Saccharomyces cerevisiae S288C: one gene and its partners. The gene in region 1 interacts genetically with each later gene. Each region holds a gene or a part of one and is shown in the gene's direction. Other genes may lie near its edges.

Region 1 (9,114 bases):
TTCCGTCGGTGAAGAAGTCGATTACGGTTTCGGTGCCATTTCTAAGGGTGTCAGCTCTCCATACTTACCTTTCGGTGGTGGTAGACACAGATGTATCGGTGAACACTTTGCTTACTGTCAGCTAGGTGTTCTAATGTCCATTTTTATCAGAACATTAAAATGGCATTACCCAGAGGGTAAGACCGTTCCACCTCCTGACTTTACATCTATGGTTACTCTTCCAACCGGTCCAGCCAAGATCATCTGGGAAAAGAGAAATCCAGAACAAAAGATCTAAGGTTTGTAACTGAGAAAAAAAAAAAAAACAGAAAAAGAGAGAAGTTGTACATTCACGTGGGCCTTATCGCCACACTCATCCATCTCCAATGATTTATTTTATTTGCCAGTACGTTTGATATGACATCGAGTTATGTTCTTTAGTTACTTTCAAACTTGGACAACCATCCCGCATTATTTATGAGTGGTATGGTTTCACTTCTTTATTTATAAATATTTATACTACGAAATTATATATAGATTACATTTCTAAAACAACATCAAATATAAGGTTTATTTATGCAACATGCCTACTGGATTAGAAGAGAGAACACACAGCTCACAGGCCAAGCGGAAATAAAGCAGTCTTTTCGCAAACTTGTAAATCTTTTTGCAATTTAAATTAATCAAGAGAGGGCCCAGGAGGAGAGGAGTTTTGGGGAGGGGTCACTGAGGAAGCTCTCTTAAATATGGATTCACTGAAATAAATGTATATAAGATTCATTACTGCTTTTTATAGTGATAAATCCAAATGATGAGTGAATTGAACCATCCTTAGTATCCATTGTTTTATAAAGCACCGCTAAAAATAATATATTGCTACAAAAATGATATAATAATAATATTACGTAAAATACCTGAAACCGCCATAAAAATAATACCTGAATTAACCTTAAAATTCTATCCCATAAGCTTTTTTGTAAAGGGCCAGATAATCTTGAGTCTCCTTCAAATGATTCTCACCCAGAAGTTCAAAGTCCATTTGCTTCTGTAACATCTCATTAATGGAAATCATATTGCTTTCCTTTGACTGATTGATTGCGTCCTCCTCGGTTTTGTCTGGCTCCAACAACGATTGCTCTGAATCCAATGGGTATGACTTATTTGTTTCTGTAGTTGTTATTGGATCGCCTGAAAGTGGAGATAGCGCTGAGGAGGCAGAGGATAATGCTGGAGAATCCATATGCAATGTGTATCTTGATGATTGATACTCTTGTGGTACAGAAGATGCATTTTGGGGTGACAAAATTGGGGGAGATATTATTGACCACTCTTTGAGATTTTGGACTTCTGTAGGTCCTCTTGATTGTGTAGTTTGTGTAGGTCTTGATATTTGTTTGCGTTCAAACCATTGAGTGCCTATTCCAAAATCGTTTTTTTCGGTTTTGGTTGGTATGATCTTGTCATTAGGGCGTTCCTTGGACTGCATTACTGTCGCTTCTATACAATTCTTATTTTGTAAAGCTGGTTCGGAAACACTTTCGTCGGATGAGATGAACCTTGTTTGGCCATCCGAAGTCTTTATCATTTTCATTTTAGACGTCTTTTTCTTCTCTCGTATTCCCTCTGAATAGCCTTCTGGTAAACCTTTGCAACTCCCAGCCTCAATGTGGTTTTCCACCCAGCTCTCACTAGTGCTAAAGTGTTCCCCACATTGAGTGCACACTCCAGGTGATTTATTACGGTCCTGAGGCTTAACACCTTCTGGGTAAGTGAAATGTCTAGATTTCAAATGTGTTTTGTAGGTATCTCTTCTGCTAAACCCCCCAGAAGTATGGCATCGCAATTCTTGCGAAATGCTATTATCAAAAAATGGACAGTGATAGGCCTTCCTTTTCGCATGCTTTTTTATGTGTCGTGTTAAGTAACCTCTGATTCGGAACCTAGCATCGCAATAGTGACATATATATGGTAAAGTTTCGGATGACTCATCAGCAATTCCTTGAACCTCATCGGATAGGGGAGATTCATCAATACTTTTCTTCGATGCAGGAGTGATTACGCTACTTACGGGCGTGATTGGAAGGAAATTAGAGGGGAAAAGAGCTTTGTACTGGTCATTATTGATATAGGATTCCTCTAGCGGGGGAGAACTTATCAAGTCATTCTGTAACTTTGCTGGCTCGCCGCGGCTAGGGCCCCGTAAAATCGGTTCGTCCAAGTTCAACTGTGTAGTGACTGCACCATTATTATCAATTTTAATTGAGAAAGGTGTTTCTAGGTTATCCAAATTTAAAGCACAGGGTACAACTGAAGATTTTGATGTTAGACTCAATTGTTTGTTGTTCTGTTTGGGAAATAATTCGCTCACGTCAACCAGATCGTCCTTTTCGGTAGCACAGCAGTCTTTCTGTGGATGGTTCTGTTTCGCAGGTTCTAACTTTTCGAAAGGAGTACTTTTCGAAGATTTGTCGTCTTCCACATTGGGCACAATCACTTGCTGCACTAATGCTTTAAGGTAGTCATATATCCTTGTTAACACGCTGTTCCGTGTTGAAGATAGTGATAAGATAGGCATGATAATGGATTTCCTTACTTCCCCAACTTTTTGCTCTCTTGCATTTGTCTGTTTGTCGGATGATTAATCACTGTTTTTCATTTATTAATCATCGTTTTTCTCGCTTTTTGCCCGTATTGGAATGTGAAGAGAAAAAAAAAATGATAAGAATTCTAAAAAAAGATACTCTTCGTTCGAATGGATGACTCTAAGAAGGGTAACAGACTTTCAATCTTCAAATAACATTATAATCTCTATTCTAGCCCTTAGAGGAGCATGTCATGCGTTCAGAACCTCCATTAATAGCTTACTTTATAACTTTCTATCAGTCACAAGTTAAACGTCGACAATTTTTGTGGGAAATGGTCTGTTTTTTTTCTTCAGTTAATAAATCTCGTTCTTGACTGCAGGTAATTAATGGTATCGTGATCGTTACCTATGCTTACACACTATAAGAATTTTCTTCGTGAGAATTGGCCCATTTCTCTGGTTCTTCTGAAGAGAGTTTTGCTGACCATCAATCAGCTTTACGAAAATTTACCGCCCAATTTCTTGCCAAAATGCCATCCATATTCCCATTCATTGGAATTCTTTCACTATTTTATCATTTCAATGTTCTTTGTAGCAACAGGCTCTTCTTTTTCACGCTTACTGTGATCATTTGTTATAAGTGCTGGTATTTTCTCTCTTCTGGAATTCCGTGCTATTGATATCACGACATGTGCGCTTCTCATGATTTTGCCGCCCAAGGCACATTTTGCCGTCTGTTTTTAACCTAATATTTATGTCGCGGGTATATTATCATATATTGCGTAAGAGGATGGTATTGCTGATGGGAAGTGGTCAACAAATTCAATAGGCACTGAAATGTAAGGGCTGACAATGTAATTGGATAAAGAAAGGCAACACATGAAAGGAAGAAAAAAAAAACGTTATTTATTATTATGTAAAACTATTGACCTCACCTTTGTGATTCACGCTGTCCTCGTGAAAAAACTTTTTTTGTTTTTGTAGACCTAATAAAAGAACCTTTTTTAACAATGTCCTAACAATAATTTCAACAGTTGCCAAACCTCAAATAGTGTTGGAATAAAAATCCACTATCGTCTATCAACTAATAGTTATATTATCAATATATTATCATATACGGTGTTAAGATGATGACATAAGTTATGAGAAGCTGTCATCGATGTTAGAGGAAGCTGAAGTGCAAGGATTGATAATGTAATAGGATAATGAAACATATAAAACGGAATGAGGAATAATCGTGATATTAGTAAATAGAAATATAGATTCCATTTTGAGGATTCCTATATCCTCGAGGAGAACTTCTAGTATATTCTGTATACCTAATATTATAGCCTTTATCAAAAATGGAATCCCAACAATTATCTCAACATTCACCCATTTCTCAAATAGTATGTTTTGGTGTTAAAGAAGAACATTGGAAACAAAGGAAAGGTAAGCATTAGCCCGGAAACAAAACAAGAGGAAGTAATATACACCTTTTTGGTTAACTTGTTCGTTCAGAAGAGCCCAAGTATGTAATTATTTTTTGCAAATCTTTCCTCAGTAACGATAACGACACGAAGGTAATATTTTAAAACATTTATCAACAAGTCACTAAATATAATCTGGGTCCTATCACTATTAGAGCTTCTATGGCCAAGTTGGTAAGGCGCCACACTAGTAATGTGGAGATCATCGGTTCAAATCCGATTGGAAGCATTTTTTGCATTGATTTCCCAATTCGTAGCTGATGATCACCCTCTGAAGCTATCGGACATTTTTTTTCTTTAATTTTTTCAGCGAGAGAGCTGGCAGTGAACGTACAAGAGCAAGCTCTCTAAAGAACTATTACTCTCCTCGTTCCCCTCTCATGTCTTTTAACAGATAAACAAGCAAAAGAAGGAACTATCATACTTAGAAAAACATGTCTTTCTTAGGTTTCGGTGGTGGTCAGCCTCAATTATCATCTCAACAAAAGATTCAAGCTGCGGAAGCTGAACTAGATTTGGTCACAGACATGTTCAATAAATTGGTTAATAACTGTTATAAAAAATGTATCAATACTTCTTATTCCGAGGGTGAGCTGAATAAGAATGAATCTTCGTGCCTAGACAGATGTGTGGCCAAATATTTTGAGACCAATGTTCAAGTCGGTGAAAACATGCAGAAAATGGGCCAATCATTTAACGCAGCCGGTAAGTTTTAGAAATGTGCATTAAAGCAGTAATGATAAGACGAAAATAAGAAAAGAAATCCATAAGCTGTTTTACTCGACTCAACGTTATAATTAGTATTATTGATTCATATCCTGTATATACAAGTAACATTATACTCTTTTCTGTACTTCATCTTTACCTTTTTATCTTACATGGCACATGTTGTTTGAAAACAAGATCATAGGTGGATAAAGCAAGCCGAATCTAAAAAAAAAAAAATGTCTCTATTGGAAAACTGAATGCATAACGATATTCCCTTTTCATGCAGATAACACTGACTAGTTTCAATTTGAAACGCATCTTCGTGTTATTTCACCGAAACGCACTCGGCTCAGCATGTTAAAAAGCACATCAATTTAGGGCTCTGCGCGTCCTTCTGCGTATTCTTCCTTGTAGAAATGCAATTAAATGGAGAGCAGAAATTTTTTTGTTACATATTGTTTTCCTTAAAGGGAAATATTAAAAAATAGTCTAAAATGAAGAGGATAGTAGAATTCCACCAATTTCTTTACGTTTTATATTATTCGTAATCTTTTGATCTGTTATTCATTTTTTCTTGTCACTCCGTTTCTAACATTTTTGACCATTTCTAAGACCAAACTGAGTAGAAGCTATTCATACTGTAAATTGGTATTTTAGCATCACATCAATAATCCAGAGGTGTATAAATTGATATATTAAGGTAGGAAATAATGGGGTGTACAGTGAGTACGCAAACAATAGGAGACGAAAGTGATCCTTTTCTACAGAACAAAAGAGCCAATGATGTCATCGAGCAATCGTTGCAGCTGGAGAAACAACGTGACAAGAATGAAATAAAACTGTTACTATTAGGTGCCGGTGAGTCAGGTAAATCAACGGTTTTAAAACAATTAAAATTATTACATCAAGGCGGTTTCTCCCATCAAGAAAGGTTACAGTATGCTCAAGTGATATGGGCAGATGCCATACAATCAATGAAAATTTTGATTATTCAGGCCAGAAAACTAGGTATTCAACTTGACTGTGATGATCCGATCAACAATAAAGATTTGTTTGCATGCAAGAGAATACTGCTAAAGGCTAAAGCTTTAGATTATATCAACGCCAGTGTTGCCGGTGGTTCTGATTTTCTAAATGATTATGTACTGAAGTACTCAGAAAGGTATGAAACTAGGAGGCGTGTTCAGAGTACCGGACGAGCAAAAGCTGCTTTCGATGAAGACGGAAATATTTCTAATGTCAAAAGTGACACTGACAGAGATGCTGAAACGGTGACGCAAAATGAGGATGCTGATAGAAACAACAGTAGTAGAATTAACCTACAGGATATTTGCAAGGACTTGAACCAAGAAGGCGATGACCAGATGTTTGTTAGAAAAACATCAAGGGAAATTCAAGGACAAAATAGACGAAATCTTATTCACGAAGACATTGCTAAGGCAATAAAGCAACTTTGGAATAACGACAAAGGTATAAAGCAGTGTTTTGCACGTTCTAATGAGTTTCAATTGGAGGGCTCAGCTGCATACTACTTTGATAACATTGAGAAATTTGCTAGTCCGAATTATGTCTGTACGGATGAAGACATTTTGAAGGGCCGTATAAAGACTACAGGCATTACAGAAACCGAATTTAACATCGGCTCGTCCAAATTCAAGGTTCTCGACGCTGGTGGGCAGCGTTCTGAACGTAAGAAGTGGATTCATTGTTTCGAAGGAATTACAGCAGTTTTATTTGTTTTAGCAATGAGTGAATACGACCAGATGTTGTTTGAGGATGAAAGAGTGAACAGAATGCATGAATCAATAATGCTATTTGACACGTTATTGAACTCTAAGTGGTTCAAAGATACACCGTTTATTTTGTTTTTAAATAAAATTGATTTGTTCGAGGAAAAGGTAAAAAGCATGCCCATAAGAAAGTACTTTCCTGATTACCAGGGACGTGTCGGCGATGCAGAAGCGGGTCTAAAATATTTTGAGAAGATATTTTTGAGCTTGAATAAGACAAACAAACCAATCTACGTGAAACGAACCTGCGCTACCGATACCCAAACTATGAAGTTCGTATTGAGTGCAGTCACCGATCTAATCATCCAGCAAAACCTTAAAAAAATTGGTATTATATGAAGGAACTGTATAATTAAAGTAGTGTTTAGATACGTAAATTCTGTTTCCGAAGATGCAAGAAGGAGCAGCAGCACCAGAAAAAATTACTATTTTTCTTCTCCATTAGAGTCTATGATGGAATGCCAAATGAAAAAGCCATTTTGTTCAACAGTTCTTGATCTCGTTAAATCGTTCCGGGTTTTCAATTGAAAAACAAGGGTAATAAAATCGCATGAGAAAAAAAAGGTCCAGACACTTTTTTAGAAGAAAAACTCTTGAAAACAATTGATTCTTCTACGTAAGGACAGGGTATTATCTCGAATTCTTCTCCCTGGTAAATACTCGGGATATATAGAACCTATTTTGCATCCTATTCTCACTTTTCTTTATTGTTGTTAATTTCTGGACATTGTTTCATTAATTGAATGAATGCCCTAAAATATTTCTCAAATCATTTAATAACTACAAAGAAACAAAAAAAAATCAATGTTGAGGTGACAAAGAATCAAGATCTACTAGGCCCTTCAAAGGAAGTTTCGAACAAATATACTAGCCACAGCGAAAATGATTGCGTTAGTGAGGTGGACCAACAGTACGACCACTCCTCAAGCCACTTAAAAGAATCTGATCAAAATCAAGAGCGCAAAAATTCTGTTCCTAAAAAACCAAAAGCTTTACGTTCCATCCTAATAGAGAAAATAGCGTCAATTTTGTGGGCACTACTACTTTTTCTTCCGTATTATCTGATAATCAAGCCCTTGATGTCTTTATGGTTTGTTTTTACCTTCCCACTAAGTGTCATCGAGCGTCGTGTAAAACACACCGATAAGAGAAACAGGGGTTCAAATGCTAGTGAGAATGAGCTGCCTGTCAGTTCAAGCAATATTAACGATTCTAGCGAGAAAACAAATCCTAAAAATTGCAATCTAAATACGATTCCCGAGGCAGTTGAGGATGACTTAAATGCCAGTGATGAGATAATTCTACAAAGGGATAATGTTAAAGGCTCATTACTTAGAGCTCAATCTGTCAAATCAAGGCCAAGAAGTTATTCCAAATCAGAACTATCACTTTCTAATCATTCAAGTTCTAATACCGTATTTGGTACAAAACGAATGGGAAGGTTCTTATTTCCAAAGAAGCTGATACCTAAATCCGTGCTTAACACACAAAAGAAAAAGAAACTGGTTATAGATCTCGATGAGACCTTAATTCACTCGGCTTCTCGAAGTACAACGCATAGTAATTCTTCTCAGGGTCACTTGGTGGAAGTGAAGTTTGGATTGAGCGGAATTCGTACACTATACTTTATTCACAAGAGGCCTTACTGTGATTTATTTTTGACAAAAGTTAGCAAATGGTACGACCTTATCATTTTTACAGCATCCATGAAAGAATACGCTGATCCTGTGATAGATTGGTTAGAAAGCTCCTTCCCATCCAGTTTTTCAAAAAGATATTACCGTTCTGATTGCGTTCTAAGGGATGGTGTTGGATACATTAAAGATTTGAGCATTGTCAAGGACTCCGAAGAAAACGGGAAAGGCAGCTCCTCTTCTTTGGATGATGTCATTATTATAGATAACAGCCCGGTAAGTTACGCAATGAATGTAGATAACGCTATTCAAGTAGAAGGATGGATAAGTGATCCAACTGATACGGACTTACTGAACCTGTTACCTTTCTTGGAGGCTATGAGGTATTCAACAGATGTCAGGAATATACTGGCATTGAAACATGGAGAGAAGGCATTCAACATAAACTGACAATTGTTATTGTGTCCTTCCAAAAAAGATGAGAATTTTAGGTGATAAATCGCCTATCCATTGCTGCTCATTTAATGGAAAGGTTATTGCATTCAGGGAAAAAAGTAACGGGAGAAAAAAGAGAAAAGACCTCTTTTTTGTTTTCTACATACGAGCATATTAATTATTTAGCAGGAAGATATACTTGATCTAAACAGTATATATATATATATATATATATATAGGTTGGGAATTAATCTTGAAATTTTTTTAGTCTTACGTTATCTTCAGCAGTGACACGCTAAATGCCCGTATCTTACTTTACATTTTGCTGTCAGGTTTTTTGATTTCTTTTTCATATTTTATGCAGTAGCGAAAAGAGACAAGACTATGAAAAAATTTTCTAGCGTTAGTAAAGTATTAATACTGCAATTAGTTAGGATAGCAGAACGAACAAATGGCAAATAATACGTGGAAGTTAATTGCTACTACAGCTCTTATATCGGTGTTTTCAACCCAAC
Region 2 (8,364 bases), on another chromosome or scaffold:
GAAGGCCTCTTTTACGCTGATTGGTAGCTCATCATTTGAGGAGTACCACCCCCCAAATGACGAGAGTTTACTGGGAAAAGCTAATGGAAACTCTTTTGAGTTTGGGCCTTGGGAAGATATTCCGAGATTTTCTTCAAACGAAACCTTAGCAATTGTTTATTCCCACAATGCCCCATTGAATCAGGTAGTGAATTTGAGAAGAGATATTTGGCTTTCTCATTGGGCTTCCACAATACAATTTGAGGAATATTATGAATTAACAAACAAAGCCGCAAAACTGTCTAAAGGATTTTCAAGATTAGAATTAATGAAACAGATTCAAACTCAGAATATGAGACAAACTCACTTTGTTACTGTCTTAGACATGCTCCTGCCTGAGGGAGCTACTGATCATTATTTCACTGATTTGGTTGGCCTTGTTTCCACGTCGCATGCAGAACGTGACCATTTCTTTATAAGACCAAGATTCCCAATCTTTGGAGGTTGGAACTACAATTTTACTGTCGGTTGGACTAATAAATTGTCCGATTTCTTGCATGTATCCTCTGGCTCAGACGAGAAATTCGTTGCTTCTATCCCAATTCTAAACGGCCCACCGGACACTGTATATGATAATGTTGAATTATCGGTATTTCTTCCGGAAGGGGCCGAAATATTCGATATTGATTCTCCAGTCCCTTTTACAAATGTTTCTATAGAAACCCAGAAATCATACTTTGACCTAAATAAAGGTCACGTTAAATTAACTTTCAGTTACAGAAATTTGATTAGTCAAGTTGCCAATGGCCAAGTCTTGATAAAGTACGACTACCCGAAAAGCTCTTTTTTCAAGAAGCCTCTGTCTATTGCTTGCTATATTTTCACCGCACTAATGGGAGTTTTTGTCTTAAAAACTTTGAACATGAACGTAACTAACTGAGTTCACGTTTGAATGATATATACCTTATGATGCAGAGCAATAAATTCAGTATTTAATTTTTTATAAGTTTTATAGATAAGAATTTTCCAATGAATAAAGGTATTTACAATCATTTCCTAGACATTCTCGTGGTCTTTTCTTTGCACAATCAATGGTCATAGTTTTTTTTGTTTAGTAGTTTAAGGACAGAAGAATAACAAAGATGTTCACGTTTTGAATGTTACCAGACATTCTCAGATTCATCCTTTAACCTAGCGACGCGCACAGGCTCCCAATCCTCTTCAGAAAGACCTTGTAAACGATAATATTCTTCTTTAATATCAAATTCCCTTTGATTCTTCCTTATTTTCAAGATATCCTCTTCATTAATTTCCTGAACTTTACGATCGCCTTGCTCGTACTTGATCGCTGTAAAGCTTGACAACCAAAACGAACCCAATACTATTGTTGCACAAAATGGTAAACCAAAAAAAAGAAAGGGGTGCTTACTCAATGCTTTTTTGTATCGCCCCGCTAAAGATGCTTCATATACTAGCTGCTGTCTTCTAGACCTAAATTTTTTTCCGCTGAACGACATTTAGGAGACAAATTCTGGTAATATTTCAGTTGTTGACTAATATATATAGTGGTTTTTGCCAAAATTAAAGACTTCCTTTTATTAACTAGGTGACCAGATATAAGGAAGTGTATTTGCTTTCTAATAACTTGTGTACGGCCATAACCCGGCTTTTAATCAGTTTATTTAACAAGGTATACAAATCGCCAAACGTAACAAGAGATAGGCGCTATTATTCATTTAATATTGTCGTATTCAAAATACTAACGGTGAACAATTTGCTCCATTGTAACACTATAGGACAAGGCTAATCATGAATAAATATCTCCCCACCCAAAATATTCGTAGCTCGCGATATTCACGGTAATATTCTGTAACTTCATGTTAAGAGATGATCTTTAGGAAGGCTAAGGAAGGGTACACATAGAAGTGAGATAAAAAATAGGCATTTGAATTACTGTAACATGGTTTCGATAAGAAGGTATTTGCGAGTGCCGAATGAGTTGAAACCTTCCCAGATCTTCAAACAAGATTCTCTCTCTCCAAGTAAGATTGGACTTCAAATTGTTCTTTTACAGATTTTTTATTACACCACAGCGATCGTTCTTTTTTATTGTTGGGCGAAGCTAGCGGGATATGATCTCAATATCAAGGAATGGCTGTTTTCTTGGGAGAATATCGACTTTACGAACGCATACGGTTTATCAATCTCACTGTTATGGCTTCTGGATTCATTAATATGTGTTTTTTTCTTAACTGTTATCGTTGGACGGAGTAAACTCGCATGGGATTTTGCTATCACTATACATGCCATCAATTTTATTGTGGTGTTCCTCTATACTCGGAAATTTCCTTCTTTTTCTTGGTTTTTTCTTCAAATTTTATCATCTTTAATACTAATATTTTTGGGGACATGGACAACAAGATGGAGAGAGCTTAGAGACACCTTTTTTGAGGGCTTGGTTGATCCTAATGAAGGAGAAGTTGGATTGGTTACGCCTAGTCAGCAGCATAGTAATCATTCAGAATTGGAGCAATCACCAATACAACTAAAAGACTTAGAAAGCCAAATATGAGAGGAGATGAAACAACATATTCGAGGCAATTTTGGCAATATTATAGTCATTCAAGAGAAAACAGTAAATGTATGAAAAATGGCAAGAACCTTATCTCTATAGGCTTAATAAATCTGCCTTTTTGGCCAATTTTTCAAAACAGATCCTATTTCTTATTTATACACAATCTATATTTAACATAATTAAGTACGTGATGACATTGAAGATAATAATAAGTAAAGAGTTTACGTACTTAAATTTTATATAGTTTTAGTATACTTGCAATGTGTGAATGGATCTAGTAAGCTGAGGTACTTCTCTAGCGTGAATATGAAACGAGTAACAGGGTGGTACATAATTTACGAACAGAACTCAAGTTGATAAATCCTTTGCGTTCTTAACCATTTGTAAAAGTTCGTCAACAACATTGAAAATATTGCTTCGAGCAGATGTTTTATCGTTTCTGCAAATTTCCAGTCCTGAACACCTCTGTTGTCGTAAATGTAATAATGCCACACTGGATTCGATTCTAGTAATTACATGATCAAAAAATAACAACGCATCCTTCTCAGAAATCGATTGCATAATACCATTTTCAACTTTAGGGTTAAATTTAATATAACTTCCCTCCGTCCGAGAGTCTAGTTCAATAAATCCGCCGCTTAAAGCTGACATTATAGATTCCAGTCTGTTTGAAATGACTCTTAAACGAAACAACATCGTTTCATTGATTAATTTTGACTGCTCATCTTCAGATGCAAATTCGTGTCTGGAAGCAAGAATCTTAGGATACGCAATAGTAACGAGTTCTTTGGTTTCGAGTCCCTTTAGCTTATGCTCGCCAAAGTCAAAAAATGCCCAACCAATACTTTCCAGCATGGCAATTTCTCTTTCAAGAACCTCTCCGATAATTTCTTCACCATAAACTTCCTTGAGAGATTCCTTGCCCTTCACTACTCGCTCATGATACTTCATTATCTTGTTGAATTCAGAGTAAAAATCACTACTCATTGCAATCTGACCACCGTCAGCGACGCCCTGGACCCTTGCTGCCTTATTGACCATCGGCCCCAAATAGTCCATTCTTTGAGTCACTAAATCAAGCTCTGGAACTGGGCAGCCCCAATGAATACCCATTCTAACTGATAGGCCTTGATAGATAATGTTACCATTTCTATCCGTAACTTGGCAGCCGTCTTGAACTGAGGTAATTTCCTCCGGCCATTGTGCATCCAAGAGTTTTAATTGAACACTTAAGCACCATGTCAGACCACTAGTTGGCGTAGGAAATGCCACCATAAAGGCGTCTCCTTCTGTCTTTACTTCGTAACCACCGTAAATTCGTAGTTGACGACGCATAATGTCATTGTGAGTTTTTATTGCGGTCCTCATTGCGTTAGGGAATAGCTCCCATAAGAAGGTTGAGCTTTTGATATCAGTGAAGACCATTGCTAGGTTACCTGTTGGCGGAGAAATCTCAGGTTGAAGTCTTCTTAATGTAGTATCCTCGAAAGTACTTCTTCTAGTCATTAAAGAGTTTTTATTTAAAGTGAACCGATTTTGTTGCTGAATGTTCTCGTAAAGAGCAAGGCACAAAATTGTAATATTCTCTGTACAGCCGTAAGCCATGGCATGATCCTTCAACTCAGCTGCGGCACGGAGTGGATCAGTACTATTCTCACGCGCGATATCACAAACTGTATCCACGTCCATGTATTCCCATAACTTATGCGTTGCTACAATAAGCATCTCGTCTGCTTTTGTTAATGTCACGACAGATATGTCGGGAGAAGCATGAATGTGGGGAAGCAAATCAAAAAAACCCACTGCTCTAGACACATCTACAACACCATCTAATTTTCCATTGTTGACATACCCGCCAGATATTCTGATCCTCTCGTATTCTTCCCGCTTTGTTGGGAGATGTTGTTTGGTTAGCGTTTGGTAGTCACCATTGTTTTTGGATAAAATAGCCATACAGTCACCTAAATTTGCAGCGAAGAGTTTCTTCCCTCTGATATATATCACAGTAGAGCAAGCGCCACTTAGCAAGTCTGCATATGAAAGATTGGCAACATCGGCACCATTATCAACAGAATTTAGCATTCCGTTAATCTCCTTATTCAGTTGCAAAAAACTGAAACGAAGTGCAGTTTTTATATTATCATCTGTTTCGTCTCCATACCTTTCCAGTTGTCTGATCAGTATTTTATCGTAAATATCTCTAACAATTCTTGATATATTGTGGCCATAATCTGCATTTTGGTTTTTACTATCATGAAGACATAGTAAGCATTCGTCGTCATTTCCGCGGAATCTTTCAAAGGTAACATCACGAGATGACACATAGTCTCTTTGACCTAATGTATCAGCAACACCGTAGCGCATCCCATTTATTATTGATGCAGTTGTCCTTAAACGGAAATTGACATTTTCATCCGGTACTTTGGTAGTATTTAAAGTTACGTCCATTAAACCTAGTACCTTTAACTGAGGTAATACTGTCAGATCTGACAAATCAGCATCAATATCGTGACTTATAAATGACTTTATTTCAAACCTTCGATTTCCTGAAAAATTCAAATATTTTAGTTCTTTATTATTCCTCCAGTTCCAATCGTAATGATAGTTTGATATATTATACTTTAATTGATTTGCTCCAACATCAAATACACTTAGCTGTGAGAGATTTGATAATTCTGCAGGCAGAGATAACATTTGGTTACTATTCAACATTAAAGTCTTTAAAGAGCTCCATTTCAAAACTGTATCACCCGACAATGTCGTGAGCTTATTACCGGAGAGGTACAATTCGGTAATGCTCTCAAGTTTCATGTGCGATACATCTGAAAAATTGTTGTAAGAAAGATTTAGCACTTTCAGATTGACAAAGCAATTGAAAAGAGGCCACATAGCATCATCAAATTGATTGTCTGCAGCAATAAAAAACATCAGGCTTTTAGATAACTTTGACCCATATGACATGTTATGGTAAAAAGAATTTTCTAAGCTAGAGTTACCGAATGCATTCGATGAAATATTTAGCGATGTTAGTTCAAGGTTTTCCATACCGTCAACAAAGTCCCTTATGTTGTTAGAATGTAGATCTAATGTCCTCAAACTTTTCAGTTGAGATAGCTCGGGTGGAATATACTCTAGTTTGTTTCTCGCCACTGAAAGGAAAACTAATTTAGTCAACTTGGATATCTCCTGTGGCAGTCTAGTCAAATTATTCTGATTAAGTTCAAGTTTCTCGAGGAAAGATAGTTTGGTGAGTAATTCTCCAGGAATACTCGATAACTGTGCCTTGTTCAACGTCAAACTTGTCATGTTTTTTGGATAAAAATCTTTGAAGGATATAGAAGTGATTGGATTCTCTTGAATTTCAAGGGCTCTTAGTTTCGGCAAAGTGTCTTCAAAGTTCGAAATTCTATTATCTGTTAAAAAAAGGTTCTGCAAGTTAGACGCATTTGTCTTAATTGATGATATTCTGTTATATCTTAGGTTCAGCGTCCTCAAATCTGTCATTTCCGATAAGTCGCCTATAAAATTTAGTTTGTTATGAGAAAGGTTCATCTTCGCAAGCTTTACTAGGTACTTAGTGGACTGTGGTAAGCTTTGGATTTTATTATATGATAGGTCTATTTGTAAAAGATTGGTGCAGTAGTTAATAACTTCTGGGTAGTGCATGAACTTGTTTGAAGACAAGTCTAGCAATTGCAGATTTTTCAGTTCAACAAATCCAGCCGGTAGGCTTTCAAGCTCATTACATTGAAGGTTTAATATCGTTAAATTACTCAGTTTCATGATTGAGTTCGGTACTTTTCTTATGAAGTTTCTCTGTAATTCCAAAGATACTAGTTTATACGCCTTAGTGATATTGGAAGGAAATTTAGATGCTCTAATATTAACCATTCTCAAACTTAATAATTTAATCGAGCTTTCAATGAACTCCAGAGGTAGGAATATATTTGCGTTATTAGAAACGTCTAAACTTTCTATTTCTGACGTATGCTGGTAAAAAATGATGGGAGGTGTAGTCAGATCCATATTCCTTAAATCTACGTGAACAAATTCGCTTCTCATTATTCTTTGTTCTTGTTCAGGAGTAAAGTGAGAAGGTGTGACAGGATGGAAAAGAAACTTAAAAACAAAACTTAAATCCTCTATACCCATAATATGAAGTGGGTCTGACTTTCGATAACCATTCAAAAGTAAAAGTTTTCTTTCAATTAAAATAGGTTTCGAAGTTGGTCTCAAAATTTTTGACAACTTTCCCACCTTCAGGGAAATTTGAAAATTCCCTTGCGCTGTAATGTTAAATTTTCTTTTAAGTGCAGGTATTATCTCTTCGACGGTAGTCGCTGGAGTACATGAGAGAGTCGTAAAAGTGTCATCAGTATTGAATATACGAATAGCATAGTGCCTCTTTGGATCTAAATCACTGAAATCTTTATAGTAATGTTCCAGTTGGCACTCGACCTCATCGTCCTTCTCATCTTGTAGTAATAATCCAGAACTCTGGGCACCATCTGGTGAATTCATATTTACCGAAGAGGATGTAAATTTCTTGGTATACGATTTCGTTTTATTCAGGATCGGTGTTTTATTATCCTGCTCTCGGTTGGCCTCCATATACGCGTTAGTGTACGAAGAGGAATCGCTGCAGGAAGATGTATCTTCTGAACTAATAGATGAGGACGGTAAAGATGAGGAAGTGGAAGACGTGTCGTAGTCCCCATCTAAATTTGATGGAGCATATCGTATACTTGGGGGACTCATAGCCAAATTACTTTTTAAGCGGTTCACAGATTTAGTATCGAGTGCGGTCTTGCTATCATTCGGAACGTTTTCTTTACATATATCAACAAAACTTGAGTTACTGTCACCCGCAGTGACCATTGATTCGTTATCCTTTCGATCGTGATGATGACGAGAGTCTTTTTTTGAAGGTGGCCCCGGTGACATGGGATCAAGTTCATCAGCATCTATACTTGACCTTCTTGATTTCGATCTCCCTTTAGGTTTTGTTTTTTTCCTTTTGGTTTCCACATCCCAGCTTTGAGGTGCTACCCATTGTGATCTATCATTGGAAGTTGATGTGAATTCACCATTAGGTGCTGCGGCAGCGACGGAGAGATCAGCCATTGACACCGACTTCCTAGGACCTTCAGGCATGATCACCGTTTTGGGTGAGGCAGTCTCAGTCCCGTGTGTAGAATTTAGTGTAGAATTGACAGCGGTGGGTGGCACCGTCTTTGTAATATCAGTAACATCCTCAAGGTTTGTATCTAGCCTGAAAAGGGATGGTTTACATGAAATGGGTGTTTCTATAGTAGGCGTTGTGGCTTCGCGTTTGTTGTCAGAGTTAGAATTTTCCGGAATGTTCTCATTATATTCTGGAGTCACTTTCTCGGATTTATTATTAGTGTGATCGGCGGATTCGCTGTTAACGCTGTCCTTACTTTTAGTAGTTGGAGAAACATTAGATACGTTATGTTGGAGAACATGACTACCCGACGTCGCCATACTTGCACTGTCACTGTTAGTCATTGAACTGACATTTGAACCTCTTCTACTGCTTGAAGAAGATGTGGAGCCTAGCAGAAAGCTTTTTCTGTGCGAGCGTTTGCTATTGGGAACATCGGATGAATGTAATGTATTTTCTGATTGCGCAACAGCCTTTGGTCTAATCTGTTTATCTGCAATACCATTATTTATATCATGGACGGAAGAACCACGTACCAATGAGGACACTTTCCTTCGTAAAGTGCTTGGCACGTTATCAGCCAAGTGATTAGATAAAGTGGAGTCTTTAGAAGGTTTCCTATTAG
Region 3 (4,909 bases), on another chromosome or scaffold:
CTTGTATTTCAGCTTCCATTGAAAACGATGACTATTTCTCATCATTTGCCGTCATCTTCTAACACCGTATATGATTATATACTAGTAACGTAAACACTAGTTAGTAGATGATAGTTGATTTTTATTCCAACAGTTACGTAAACCGTTATCAAATAGATACGCTCAAATTCAATTCTGATTAATTTTCATTGGGGCTGATCGTTTCGCTGCAAGTTGTCATAGTATTATTTATTTATTAATACCTTAGATTTTCTTGACAATTAACCAATTTTTAATCATTAAACTTAATAATATTTAATGCTACTGTACTTTCTATTATTATTTATTATTAATTTATTTATTCGTTCATCTTGTATGTAATCGTCCTCCGTTCTTTTCCCTTTACCGCTGGCTTGCGCGCGATGATTTCCACTAAAAGCTTGCTTGGAAATCTCGATCACCGACATACGCCCTGAGAATGCTTATAGGAGCTATCGAGGCGAAAGAAGTGGGGGGAAAGTAATATCCCGAGAACGAAAACGCAAGGCTTATTGTCATGAAAATGCAAATGCACCGTTGACAAAACCAACCACACGATTATCACGACTACTACCATAATAGGTAGGCAATGAACACTTCGTTCAGCAAATGGGTCCAACACGAATCGACTTTTCGAGGCTTCTTCGGCCGTTTTCGGGCCAGTTAGTGCTGATTATATATCATACTCTAGTTTATGTTCGCTTTACGTATGGCAGTGTCTCTAAGCTATTCCGTCTTTTTAAGAAGCGCATCGATATTGGGATGCCGCCTTCGCCAGTAATTTTCCTGAGCTTGTCGTTCGATCTCCGCTGCCTTGAGCAAAAAGTTTCGATAATTCAGTCTGGAACTAGGAGAAGCTGACTCGATGGCATCTTCAGGCTTAGCGGTGACCGGAGAATTGCCAATTGACGTGGCTGTTTGCTTCTTGGGGGTTACTCCCTCAACAAGGCGTAGAAAATAACGGTAGCAATCCTCATCGCTGTAAAAGTAATACGGAGTATGCCATTGCCCATGATTAAACAAATATTGGTTCATGTTGTATGTGATGATCCTCCATTCTTTCCCTTCTACTGCCGGTTTACGTGTGATGACATCCACTAAAAGCTCGGTCCTAAAATTTCGACGACTGACTAGCTTTGGATTACCATCACCTAATATTATTAACAATACTACAAGAGAAAGATAAGCGTAGTATGCAGAATTGAAAACACAAGCTTCGTTGTCATTAAAAAATATAATTAATAAAACCAAAACCCCTATTACCAGGGACAAAATCATGACTGGTGTATAGCGAGCGATTTCATAGATCCAATAACTCAAGTACGAACGGAATATGTCCTTAGGAAGAGCCACATTTTTCTCAATTAAATGTGCACTAGGTTCGTTGAGTGTATCTAACTTGACGTCGGTACTTTCTAGAGGGGTCTGCATGACCAATATATACCTTGTATCGTCTATGACTATAGTATTCCTGATTGTCTCTGTGCCATTGCATACTGATCAAATGTTTTAATAACGCAGGACCCTTTTCACGATTGTTTTTCATCTCTAGAGGCATTTTCAATATTGCATTTTGCGAAGTGATGTATAATGAAAATGTGGTAATAAGGCAGTGAGCTACTTTGTCACAACAAAGTACGAGAACAGATGAGGTTCCGTGGTGTTTTTGGGGCAACTGCATTATTTGGAGCGCCGTATATATTTATATCCTATTACAAAAAATCATAAATGACACTAAATTTGACACCTACTAGTGTCGTCAATCGAGAAGTAGATCCTTTGTCAAGTTGTGTGCTAGTGTCTCCCGTCTTCTGTCTAAAAAAACTCATCGACACCAGGATACTCTTGTCGCCAATATTCCTTTTGAAATTGTTGTTCGATTTCGGCTGCCTTGGTGAGGAGCTTTATAAAGTTCGGTCCGGCACTAAAACTAGAAGACTCAGCGGCTTCGTTTGGTGTGCCAGCGGTTTCGTCATTTGATTGTGCGTCTTTAACATTGCTGGCTGACGATTCCTTTTGCTTCTTGAAAGTTCTTCCCTTAATAAGACTTAGAAAATAACGGTGGCAATCTTCATCACGGTAAAAGTAGTAGGGAGTGTTCCATAAATCGTTATCAAATAAATACTGGTTCATCTTGTATGTAATTGTCCTCCATTCTTTCCCCTTTACCGTAGGTTTCCGTGTGATAATTTCCATCAGTAGCTTACATTTGAAATCTTCATCACTGATCTGTGGTCCAAACCTGAGTATTAGAACTATCACTAAAATGCCAGAGAATATGAGGAGAAACCCTACAGAAACCCCAACGCAATTTTCGTTATCATGAAAAAGAATAATTATTGAGATTAAAACCCCAATTACTAGAGACAAAAGCATGACCGGTGTACAGTGAGCTGCTTCATATATCCAATAACTCAAGTACGAATGGAATATGTCCTTAGGAAGAGCCACATTTTCCTCGATTAAATATGCACCGGGTTCGTCGAGAGAATCCGACTTGGCGTTGGTATTTTCTGAAGGGGTTTGCATGTTGAATTGATATCTTGTCTTGTGTAAGGTTATTATATGGTTTTGGAGGTTGTTATGCTGATTCGAATTACGACTTGATCTTGATACTAATTGAGCTTTGACGAAATATTTTAGCAATTCAGAACCCCTTTCATATTCTTTTTCTTCTTTTCATTTTTAGAGGCGTTATTTCACTAATAGGTACAGCCTCCGAAATAATACGTAATTGAAGATATGATAATAACAGTACGAGCCTTTTACAGGGCCATTATGATCATGAGTGAGATCCAGAAAAGCACATTGCATGGCAGTCGGATGTTGAGAATTGGGGGAATTTTGAGATAATTGTTGGGATTCCATTGTTGATAAAGGCTATAATATTAGGTATACCTAATATACTAGAAGTTCTCCTCGAGGATATAGGAATCCTCAAAATGGAATCTATATTTCTACATACTAATATCACGATTATTCCTCATTCCGTTTTATATGTTTCATTATCCTATTACATTATCAATCCTTGCACTTCAGCTTCCTCTAACATCGATGACAGCTTCTCATAACTTATGTCATCATCTTAACACCGTATATGATAATATATTGATAATATAACTATTAGTTGATAGACGATAGTGGATTTTTATTCCAACAATCTCAACATTCACCCATTTCTCACATTTATCTCAAAATCCACCCATTTCTCAATAATATATATGGTAAGTAACCAGTTGTCAAAACAGTTTATCAGATTAATTCACGGAATGTTACTTATCTTATATATTATATAAAATATGAATCATACTAAGTGGTGGAAGCGCGGAATCTCGGATCTAAACTAATTGTTCAGGCATTTATACTTTTGGGTAGTTCAGCTAGGGAAGGCCGGGTTTTATCTCATGTTGTTCGTTTTGATATAAGGTTGTTTCATATGTGTTGTATGAACGTTTAGGATGACGTATTGTCATACTGACATATCTCATTTTGAGATACAACATTTTCAGTTAATTTGTTTCCGATATAGTGTAACGGCTATCACATCACGCTTTCACCGTGGAGACCGGGGTTCGACTCCCCGTATCGGAGTATTTTTTTGAAAGTTTTTTTTCACGTTAGTTCCGTGAAGAAAATTTTTTTTCTTCATTTCGGAGAAAAAACAAGGAAGGAGAAAGATTTAAGAGTGATAGCTAGATCATGTATTCCTTAATACGAAGGAGAGACCTGGATTTTTCTCATATTATTATGTCTCACTGCCTACTTAACAAAGACATTTACCTTTGAACTGCAATTAAAGTAAAGTAAAAAAATTAAGAATAAAAAGAAAAATGGGTGCTTGGTTATTTATCCTTGCTGTTGTTGTCAACTGTATCAATTTGTTTGGCCAAGTGCATTTCACAATACTATACGCTGATTTAGAAGCTGACTATATCAATCCAATTGAATTATGTTCTAAAGTTAACAAGTTAATTACCCCTGAAGCCGCCTTGCATGGTGCTTTGTCATTACTATTCTTACTGAACGGTTACTGGTTTGTATTTTTATTGAACTTACCAGTTCTAGCTTACAATCTAAACAAGATCTACAATAAAGTTCAACTTTTGGATGCTACCGAAATATTCAGAACTTTAGGCAAACATAAAAGGGAGAGTTTCCTAAAGTTAGGTTTCCACTTATTGATGTTCTTCTTCTACTTGTACAGAATGATCATGGCTTTGATTGCTGAAAGTGGTGATGACTTCTAATCCAACAAGACATTGAAATCCAAAGAAGACTGAAGGGCCAAGAATAATAGACATACTTAATGGCCGCCCATAGATTGGAGGAAAACTGAAGATAAAAAAGATAAATACACAGAATGTATTAATTCGTGCTTCCCTTTTTTCCTTTTTTGCTTTTTTTCTCAATTGTCGGTGGGAGTTATCAATTTTTTTCGTTATTACCAGCATCTATTAAAGTAAAATACCGGTGAATATCGGTAAATAATAGGTTACTGTATAAATGTACATATAAATATTTGTATAGTTAGTATGCCATACAAAATAAAAAAAAAAAAAAAAAAAAACTAAAAGGTTGAGAACTTAAGGGTGAGCATGACTGTGAAATTTTGAAGAGATGCAGTAAGCCATCCCATATCTATTGCTCCAGGGCCCAGAAAAAAAAAATAAAAAATAGAACTTAAGTTGAAACTTAGTGCAAAAGATATATAATGAAAAAAGATAACCAAATCTGAATCTAAATGAAAATGAAAATTTCTATACATAAATAACGAAGAATAAAATACTAAAATGAAAAAAATAAATAAAAAAGGTAAATCGTAATAAGAGAAAAAAAAAGGAAAAATGTCAAAACGTAATCATGAAAAAAAAAAATTCAATTGATTTTTTTT
Region 4 (8,565 bases), on another chromosome or scaffold:
ACCTTGATTTTTTTTTATTGATACGCTAAGAGTTTGGGCTTTGACATTCTTTGAACTTGTCTTAAATTTGGCTTGGTATAAACGAAACCGTTTGGAGGGCGTAGTGTCTTCTGCTATAAAGCCTGATGAATATTTACATTTTTTACTTGGTGTACTGGGTATTACAAGCCCAATTTTTTTTTTTGATTTCGGTGTTCGCAACAAAAGTGTGTCTGAAGAATGCATTTCATCCATGTTTTTGAAATTTTTTTTTTCTTAATTTTATATTTCTCTTGTTTAACTAATCAAACATATTTACAGAACAACTTATCACCTAAACGCGCCTAAGTTCCAAATATAGCTGAAGTGTGGAAGGCACAAAGAAATGTTGCGTTTAAATAATACTTCGCTTGATTTTCCTCGTAGAGTGACAAAATTGATCCATTTTAAATTAACAAGAATGTTACCGCTTTAAAACTAAACTGTAAACAGTATCGAATGACATTTACGGTAACGGGCTTAAAATTCAAGATTTTCCTATCGAAATGGGCATGCATCTGTCGTTTACCTAAGCAAGGCTATGTATCGTTACACAACGTATTTAGTGTGTTGTGAGCTCTCTTGTTTACCAATTTGCACTAAGAGATATTCGCAGCTGAAAAAAAAAAGTTTAAACCCGATTAGAATAGCCATGGGATTTTCCATGCATTACTGCTGTCTATAACGGCGTGACCAGTTTAGCATAAATCCTTTGTCCGTAGTTTCTTTGAATCGTTCTGTCATACTGTTTTGTTTTTAAGACTGAGGCTGTCAAACTTTAATCTCAAAATCGGCCTGAAATCTTGAAAAAGCGGGATTGTTTTCTTTTTTTTTTTGCATATTCCCGTGGTTCGCATTTCCAAAAAGGGATTTGGTGCCTAGATATTTCCTTGTCTTCCCCTTTCGGATATTTACAAAACTCGAATATGTTATTTACTTTTATCCTAATTGGGCGATGTATGGATTGGACGAAAGTAGAAAGGTATAACTTGCCCAAAGGGTGGGCTAGCTGAGAGTTTTATGTGTCGAATTACGATCTCAAAAAACAGAGTAACGCAAAAAACCCCTACCCAAGAAAATGCTTCTGAATCTTAAAAGGACACGTCTTTTAAGAAGAGCTCGCAGTAGAGTAAGTTGTTATCTAAACTAATTACTGCCGTGGAATCGCCTTACTTTAAGGCCTGCGTAGTAACTCAATGCATTCTCTTGATGTTTATCCCCCAAGCTTGTTGCTATGCAACTATTTGTCCTTATAATATGTAGTATAGTAAAACTCTCGTAGTTACTTTCTTGGACATCACTGCTGTCCTGAGATAACATTATATGCTCTATTCCCATTGGTGGGACGATAACTGATTTTATTCATTCCAACCAAAAGATTGTACCGATATGCCATGACAACGAAATCTTGGAATACTTCGAAAAGAAAACACTTTTTTGTTGTCTTTCTGGGTGGGAACTAACGTTTCCATTATTTTTTTAACTGACATTGAAAAGGCAAAGCAACTGTCCTAGATTTTTTTGTTCTACTTAAAAGAGCCAAGGAGACCTAAAAAAGATAGTTATGAATATCCTCAGTATTGTTTACCCCTATACAAAAGTTCTAATCCAATAAATATGTAATGTTAAGTAAAAAGACGGAGAAGAAGCAGTAAAATAAGTCTCTTTCCTCTCCGAAGTAACGAAAAGAAAAGAGCAGAAAAGAAAAAACGCCGGTCTCGCTGCCTATGGTTCTATTTAAAATCATAGCATACAATAGACTTCGTAATGAAGATAACTGGACTTCTTTGCAACGGTGTTCGTCTATGCGGTCGTTAAGACACAAGGACTCAAGAGGGTTTAGTATCCTTTTTTTGTTGGTTCCTGCAGCAGCGTCAGACGCGTTGCTGATTATCGCCGATTGACGCGCGCCACAAAAACGTATCATTGTCATTAATTCATAAATTTTGGAACTATAAATTGCTAAGAAGTGTTCACTTTTTACCTCCTTCTACTACACTTTCGACAAAATTTCTTCCTTTGTTATTTTTGAGAGGCAAGCAACAAGAACATAAAAAATTGTTTTTGCTACATTGGTTTCACATAACATATTTCAACAAACATGCCATCAAATTTGAATATAGTGAAGGTTACAAAACCACAAGAAGAAAATAAGAATTTTTTACACAAAAACACGAATGAACCCAATGAAATGGAACAATCGCAGACACAAGAAGCAGTTACAGAAAATTTTACCGAAAACAGTAATCTCAGTGCAAATGAACATGCAGCTAGGAGGGGTAGATTAAATTTGAAAACAGTTGATCACATAGAAACTTATCCAATAGTGCAAGAAACAGAAGAGATTGCAAAGAAGATTGCTCTAACGAGAATTATTTTAGCACAAACAAAGCCTAGAATCGATAAAGTGGTAGTGTCACGTCCCGTTCAAGCCGTAGCACCAGTGGTCAATTTTTTTGACAAGATGGCCAATTCGACTTTAAGTACAGTAGAGCGCGTTGTCCCTTCTTTGAAAACAAAAACTTATAAAAGATTAGGTGAGGAAATTGCACTTCCGTATACTTTGTCGAAAAAGTATGGAAAGCAGCTCAGGGATACGACAGCAAGAAATGGAGACAACTATGTTTACCAACCTGTCCATGGAAGGTTGATGAAATTTAGGAAGTACTATAATGAAAAATTCATAGACACAAAGGGCAAGCCTTTGATAAGGGGGCAACTTGACCCTGTTTTGTTACCAGTCAATAATACATTCGAAAAGGTAACGGTAAAGTATTTGCCCAAAGGTAAGAAAGTTCCAAATGATTCCTTTTCTTGTGAGTTTAATAGGGGGCTAGCTTTAGAATACAATTTTATGACAAGAGCAGTTTCTGCAGTTAGTCATCAAGTTGTTGGTATTGCAAAGCTTCCCATTGCCTATGGATATCATACAAACTCTGTTTATAATAAAAACTTAGACAAACAGGCCGATTTAAAAATGAAAAATGTATTGAGAGGTACTTGGGATACCATAACTGATTTAGAACGCGAAATTTGGGCCTCTGTCACCGATAGAAGTTTGTTTAGATTTTTTGGCAACAAATCTGAGGGAGGAGATTTACCACATCTAGTACAATAAGTTCGCATAGAAAATAATTTTAATATAGGCGAGAATTTCAATTTGTACCTACTGGCGCAAATTCAATAGGTGTTATCTATTGAAAGCACTGAACTTAAATTTACCAATGTATACACGCTCAACATAAAAAAGAGGTAAAAGAAAATATATTTTTTTGTAAGGAAAGGCTTAATAAATATTTACAAGCTAGATAAAAAAAAAATCAAATAGCAAGCTATTCTGTCATATCTTAAGGTGCTGATTGTTTGTAGGCACGAAGTAAACAAGCTCTTCCCCAAAACAATAAATACGGTTTTCGGGACTGTTCACCCGTACATTTTACGTTTCCGACGGCGCGATGCTATCTTTGAATTTTTATCTCTTTCAGGTAACCCCATGACCAGTAGGGCGGCTTACTACCGAAGAGAAAAATGTCCGCGGCCTAGACAGTTACTTCCCAGGCCAGGGCCAGGCCACACGGACAGAGGCAGATTCCAAGTTGTTCCGCATAGTCTGTCTAGCTCTTTCTCAATTTTCCGCCAGATTCTGTCTAATTTCTTTCCGCTCGAGTTGGCAACAGTACGAAGAAGTAACTCTAATAGATAGATATAACCGTTTTTGAGGGCATTATTTTTGCAGAAGATAATAGAAGAGAACCGTAACAAAGGAATCAAGCAAAGAAAAAGTATGTAATAGAATGTATTGTATGCTTGTGGAATGAATGTCAATGTAGCTATTTTATATGGTGAGCTCAAATTGAATGAACATATCGTGGAAATTTAAAATACTGAAGAATACCCAATAAGTCAATGCAACCTGTGAATGTTTTTCCTGAAATACGCCGAATACTGAATACGATTATTACCATAAATTGCTTCTAGAAGGAAGGCGGTGTACCATTTAATACTGATGATATGGTTAATATCATTTGAGAAGTCTTCACATGAGGACTATAGAACTACCATCCAGGAATTATAGAGGAAATTAACTGAATCAGAGATCTATTTTGAAACATTCATTTACATGTAATTGTCTGCAATAAAGCAATATTTTTGAAATATGCAAGTTTACTAACAAGAATAAATTCTTTTTTGATTTTTATCTTTAACAGTGGCTCATTTCAAAGAATACCAAGTCATTGGTCGTCGTTTACCAACTGAATCCGTTCCAGAACCAAAGTTGTTCAGAATGAGAATTTTTGCTTCAAATGAAGTCATCGCCAAGTCTCGTTACTGGTATTTCTTGCAAAAATTGCACAAGGTTAAGAAGGCTTCTGGTGAAATTGTTTCCATCAACCAAATCAACGAAGCTCACCCAACCAAGGTCAAGAACTTCGGTGTTTGGGTTAGATACGATTCCAGATCTGGTACTCACAACATGTACAAGGAAATCAGAGACGTATCCAGAGTTGCTGCCGTCGAAACCTTATACCAAGACATGGCTGCTAGACACAGAGCTAGATTTAGATCTATTCACATCTTGAAGGTTGCTGAAATTGAAAAGACTGCTGATGTCAAGAGACAATACGTCAAGCAATTCTTGACCAAGGATTTAAAATTCCCATTACCTCACAGAGTCCAAAAATCTACCAAGACTTTCTCTTACAAGAGACCATCAACCTTCTACTAAGCCAACAAGATATTTCTACGTTTTTTAGTATAATAAAATTTTGTATAATTCATTTTGTAGATTCAAGGAAATTTTAAAATATATCCTGTTTCTTCTCTTACATTATGCACTACCAGCGTGAAAGCACAATGTCATGCCATGTATCTTTACAAAATCCAGGGTCCATAGCGGGTAACAAATTATTGGTTTTTCTGCGATAAATATAAAACGTAGCGTAATTATAAAAATCCTGAGCGGTGTTGTCGTAGAGCAGTTGAACATTACGTAAACAGATATCTACGCATTTCTGTCATTTGGATTCATACAGGGTTTACAGACAATATGGGGACCGAAGATGCCATTGCCCTTCCAAATAGCACGCTAGAGCCGCGTACCGAAGCTAAGCAAAGACTATCATCTAAGAGTCATCAAGTCTCGGCGAAAGTAACGATTCCAGCAAAAGAAGAAATTAGTAGTAGCGATGACGATGCACACGTTCCAGTGACAGAAATACATTTGAAATCTCATGAATGGTTCGGCGATTTTATAACTAAACATGAAATTCCCCGTAAGGTGTTCCATTCTTCCATTGGCTTTATTACTTTGTACCTGTATACGCAGGGTATTAATTATAAAAATGTTTTATGGCCTTTGATATACGCCTTCATCATATTGTTTATTTTGGATCTGATAAGACTAAACTGGCCCTTTTTCAATATGCTTTACTGTAGAACTGTGGGTGCGCTAATGAGAAAAAAGGAGATTCATACATACAATGGGGTATTGTGGTACATTCTTGGGTTAATCTTTTCTTTTAACTTTTTCTCTAAAGATGTTACCTTAATATCGTTATTTTTGCTAAGTTGGTCCGATACAGCCGCCGCAACTATTGGAAGAAAGTATGGTCATTTAACACCCAAAGTGGCAAGAAATAAATCCCTTGCAGGTTCGATAGCTGCGTTTACAGTTGGTGTTATCACCTGCTGGGTATTTTATGGCTATTTTGTTCCTGCCTACAGCTACGTCAACAAACCTGGCGAGATCCAATGGAGCCCAGAAACAAGCAGATTAAGTTTGAATATGCTATCCTTGTTAGGTGGTGTGGTAGCTGCTTTGAGTGAAGGTATAGATTTGTTCAACTGGGATGATAATTTCACTATTCCTGTCCTGTCATCACTTTTTATGAACGCAGTAATCAAAACATTCAAGAAATAAAAGCATATATACCAAAAACAGGAGTGTTTTATATTCTTCGGTAAGTCTTTTTTACAGTAACTGGAGTGCGCGATTCAGTTTATCTGTGGTTAACGATCCAGCACCTCTTCGATCTTTGGCATCCACAAATTATTTTTCTAAATATCCTACATATCCGAGTATAGAGTTAGAACCTGTGTAAATTATTCAGCAGTATTTCCGTATTTTTCACGCCATTAGAAACATTCGACACAAGCAGTTTTATGAAAACATTTATGTTACTAATATATGTGCCAACAAGCGCATCCAAATGGGGCGCAACATTATTATTTAATCGTAAACCTACACCATATTTTCATCAGTAAAAAAAGGCTTTTTCATGCCCCAACTTTGTCACAAAGCAATCATATCAGAGAACAATAAAAAAGAACAATCCTGCGAAATACGATTACCAAGATCCTGAACCAGCGTTCATTTATCTTGGCATCTCAAGGATATATGGTTTATCTGCGATTACCGCCCAGTGGCCTTATTGATATTGATATCATTGTGTACGTTAGAACAGAAAAAAAGAAATTTGGAAAATTTTTCAACCTCATCGAAAATTTTCAGAAAAGCAAGAATTATTTATGCTTTCGCAAAAATTTCGCATATAAGTTATTTTTGAAATAGCAGTCGATACCAAATTAGCTGTAGAACCTCAACCTCCTCATACAATGGCTTACGTTTTAACTGAAACTTCAGCTGGTTATGCTCTTTTAAAAGCTTCCGATAAGAAAATCTACAAATCTTCAAGCTTAATTCAAGACTTGGATAGCTCTGACAAAGTCTTGAAGGAATTCAAGATCGCCGCCTTTTCCAAGTTCAACTCTGCAGCTAACGCTTTAGAGGAAGCCAACTCCATTATTGAAGGTAAAGTTTCTTCCCAATTAGAAAAACTTCTGGAAGAAATTAAAAAGGACAAGAAGTCGACCTTGATTGTTAGTGAAACTAAACTGGCAAACGCTATTAATAAGTTGGGATTGAACTTCAATGTTGTTTCCGATGCTGTAACCTTAGATATCTATAGAGCTATCAAAGAATATTTGCCAGAATTGCTGCCAGGTATGTCTGATAATGATCTAAGCAAGATGTCTTTGGGTTTAGCTCATTCCATCGGTCGTCACAAATTAAAATTTTCTGCTGACAAAGTTGATGTTATGATTATTCAAGCAATTGCTTTATTGGATGATTTAGATAAAGAATTAAACACATATGCCATGAGATGTAAAGAATGGTACGGGTGGCACTTTCCTGAGTTAGCTAAGATTGTTACTGATTCCGTCGCTTATGCGAGAATTATTCTAACAATGGGTATCAGATCCAAGGCTTCTGAAACAGATTTGAGTGAAATCTTACCAGAAGAGATTGAAGAACGTGTCAAAACCGCTGCTGAAGTGTCTATGGGTACTGAAATCACTCAAACCGATCTAGACAACATTAATGCTTTAGCTGAACAAATAGTCGAATTTGCCGCTTACAGAGAACAGTTGTCCAATTACTTGTCTGCAAGAATGAAGGCTATTGCTCCAAACTTGACTCAGTTGGTTGGTGAATTAGTTGGTGCTAGACTTATCGCTCATTCAGGTTCCTTAATTTCCTTGGCCAAATCACCAGCTTCTACCATCCAAATATTAGGTGCCGAAAAGGCTTTATTCAGAGCTTTAAAGACCAAGCATGATACACCAAAGTATGGTTTGCTATATCATGCCTCTCTTGTTGGTCAAGCTACTGGTAAGAACAAAGGTAAGATTGCAAGAGTTCTGGCTGCTAAGGCCGCTGTCTCATTGCGTTATGATGCTTTAGCTGAAGATAGAGACGATTCAGGTGACATTGGTCTAGAATCAAGAGCCAAAGTAGAAAATAGATTATCCCAATTAGAAGGTAGAGATTTAAGAACTACTCCAAAGGTTGTTCGTGAGGCTAAGAAGGTGGAAATGACTGAAGCTAGGGCCTACAATGCAGATGCTGATACCGCAAAGGCTGCTTCTGATTCTGAATCCGATTCTGATGATGAAGAGGAAGAAAAGAAAGAAAAGAAAGAAAAGAAGAGAAAGAGAGACGATGATGAAGATTCCAAGGATTCTAAAAAAGCTAAGAAGGAAAAGAAGGACAAGAAGGAAAAGAAGGAAAAGAAGGAAAAGAAGGAGAAGAAAGAGAAGAAAGAGAAGAAGGAAAAGAAGTCCAAGAAAGAGAAGAAAGAGAAGAAATAAGGATGCATTTTACATTTTAATAATTAGTGACCCCTCGCGTTCCCTTTTATTTGGATTTAGAAAATTTTCTATAATTATCCAATGCTTAACCTATTTCTCATTTCATATTTTATTCCATAATCTGTAAATTAGTGCTGTACGCCCATATTGAATTGAACTTATTATTTTTTTTAGGTGATATATTTGAAATAGTATACATAATTTATGTTTACATAGTTTTAGGTACTTTATATCATTAAAAGTTTTGTTTAACCTTTAAAAAATTTGTACCATTAGCAGTTATAGGTATTCATATCGTGAACTGCGCAACTTAAAATTATTCGCGGGACGAAAAAGATATACAAAATTTTTGAAAGTGAGCAAAGGATGAGATGGTGCAATCGTTACTATTTGATA

The links.
Region 2: mutations in NEM1 (region 1) and SYS1 together harm fitness more than expected from each alone (negative genetic interaction), as found in Saccharomyces cerevisiae (4 studies listed by BioGRID).
Region 3: mutations in NEM1 (region 1) and ERV14 together harm fitness more than expected from each alone (negative genetic interaction), as found in Saccharomyces cerevisiae (4 studies listed by BioGRID).
Region 4: mutations in NEM1 (region 1) and DGK1 together harm fitness less than expected from each alone (positive genetic interaction), as found in Saccharomyces cerevisiae (4 studies listed by BioGRID, with this or other methods).

What each region holds. Positions count from the first base shown.
Region 1 is NC_001140.6:111,254-120,367, reverse strand, and holds NEM1 (Nem1-Spo7 phosphatase catalytic subunit NEM1), read left to right. Parts: upstream 1-7,273; coding exon 7,274-8,614; downstream 8,615-9,114. Other genes in the region: ERG11 (sterol 14-demethylase), read left to right, coding at 1-277; STP2 (Stp2p), read right to left, coding at 929-2,554; protein transporter TIM10, read left to right, coding at 4,467-4,748; GPA1 (guanine nucleotide-binding protein subunit alpha), read left to right, coding at 5,451-6,869; TCD1 (tRNA threonylcarbamoyladenosine dehydratase), read left to right, coding at 9,051-9,114. UniProt on the Saccharomyces cerevisiae protein: Catalytic component of the NEM1-SPO7 complex which acts as a phosphatase and dephosphorylates the phosphatidic acid phosphohydrolase PAH1. Essential for the formation of a spherical nucleus and meiotic division.
Region 2 is NC_001142.9:425,776-434,139, reverse strand, and holds SYS1 (Sys1p), read left to right. Parts: upstream 1-1,939; coding exon 1,940-2,551; downstream 2,552-8,364. Other genes in the region: dolichyl-diphosphooligosaccharide--protein glycotransferase subunit OST1, read left to right, coding at 1-919; COX16 (Cox16p), read right to left, coding at 1,140-1,496; CYR1 (adenylate cyclase), read right to left, coding at 2,903-8,364. UniProt on the Saccharomyces cerevisiae protein: Necessary for the targeting of ARL3 to the Golgi. Involved in protein trafficking. May serve as a receptor for acetylated ARL3.
Region 3 is NC_001139.9:400,227-405,135, reverse strand, and holds ERV14 (cornichon family protein), read left to right. Parts: upstream 1-3,848; coding exon 3,849-4,265; downstream 4,266-4,909. Other genes in the region: DUP240 family protein MST27, read right to left, coding at 745-1,449; pheromone-regulated DUP240 family protein PRM8, read right to left, coding at 1,834-2,547. UniProt on the Saccharomyces cerevisiae protein: Could regulate export of the bud site and axial growth sites selection protein AXL2 and possibly other secretory proteins from the endoplasmic reticulum in COPII-coated vesicles. Seems to be required for axial budding pattern in haploid cells.
Region 4 is NC_001147.6:896,429-904,993, reverse strand, and holds DGK1 (diacylglycerol kinase), read left to right. Parts: upstream 1-5,065; coding exon 5,066-5,938; downstream 5,939-8,565. Other genes in the region: SFG1 (Sfg1p), read right to left, coding at 1-234; YOR314W (uncharacterized protein), read right to left, coding at 1,622-1,951; SPS4 (Sps4p), read left to right, coding at 2,120-3,136; 60S ribosomal protein eL20 RPL20B, read left to right, coding at 3,800-3,800, 4,227-4,744; RNA-processing protein NOP58, read left to right, coding at 6,634-8,169. UniProt on the Saccharomyces cerevisiae protein: CTP-dependent diacylglycerol kinase that catalyzes the phosphorylation of diacylglycerol (DAG) to phosphatidate (PA). Controls phosphatidate levels at the nuclear envelope.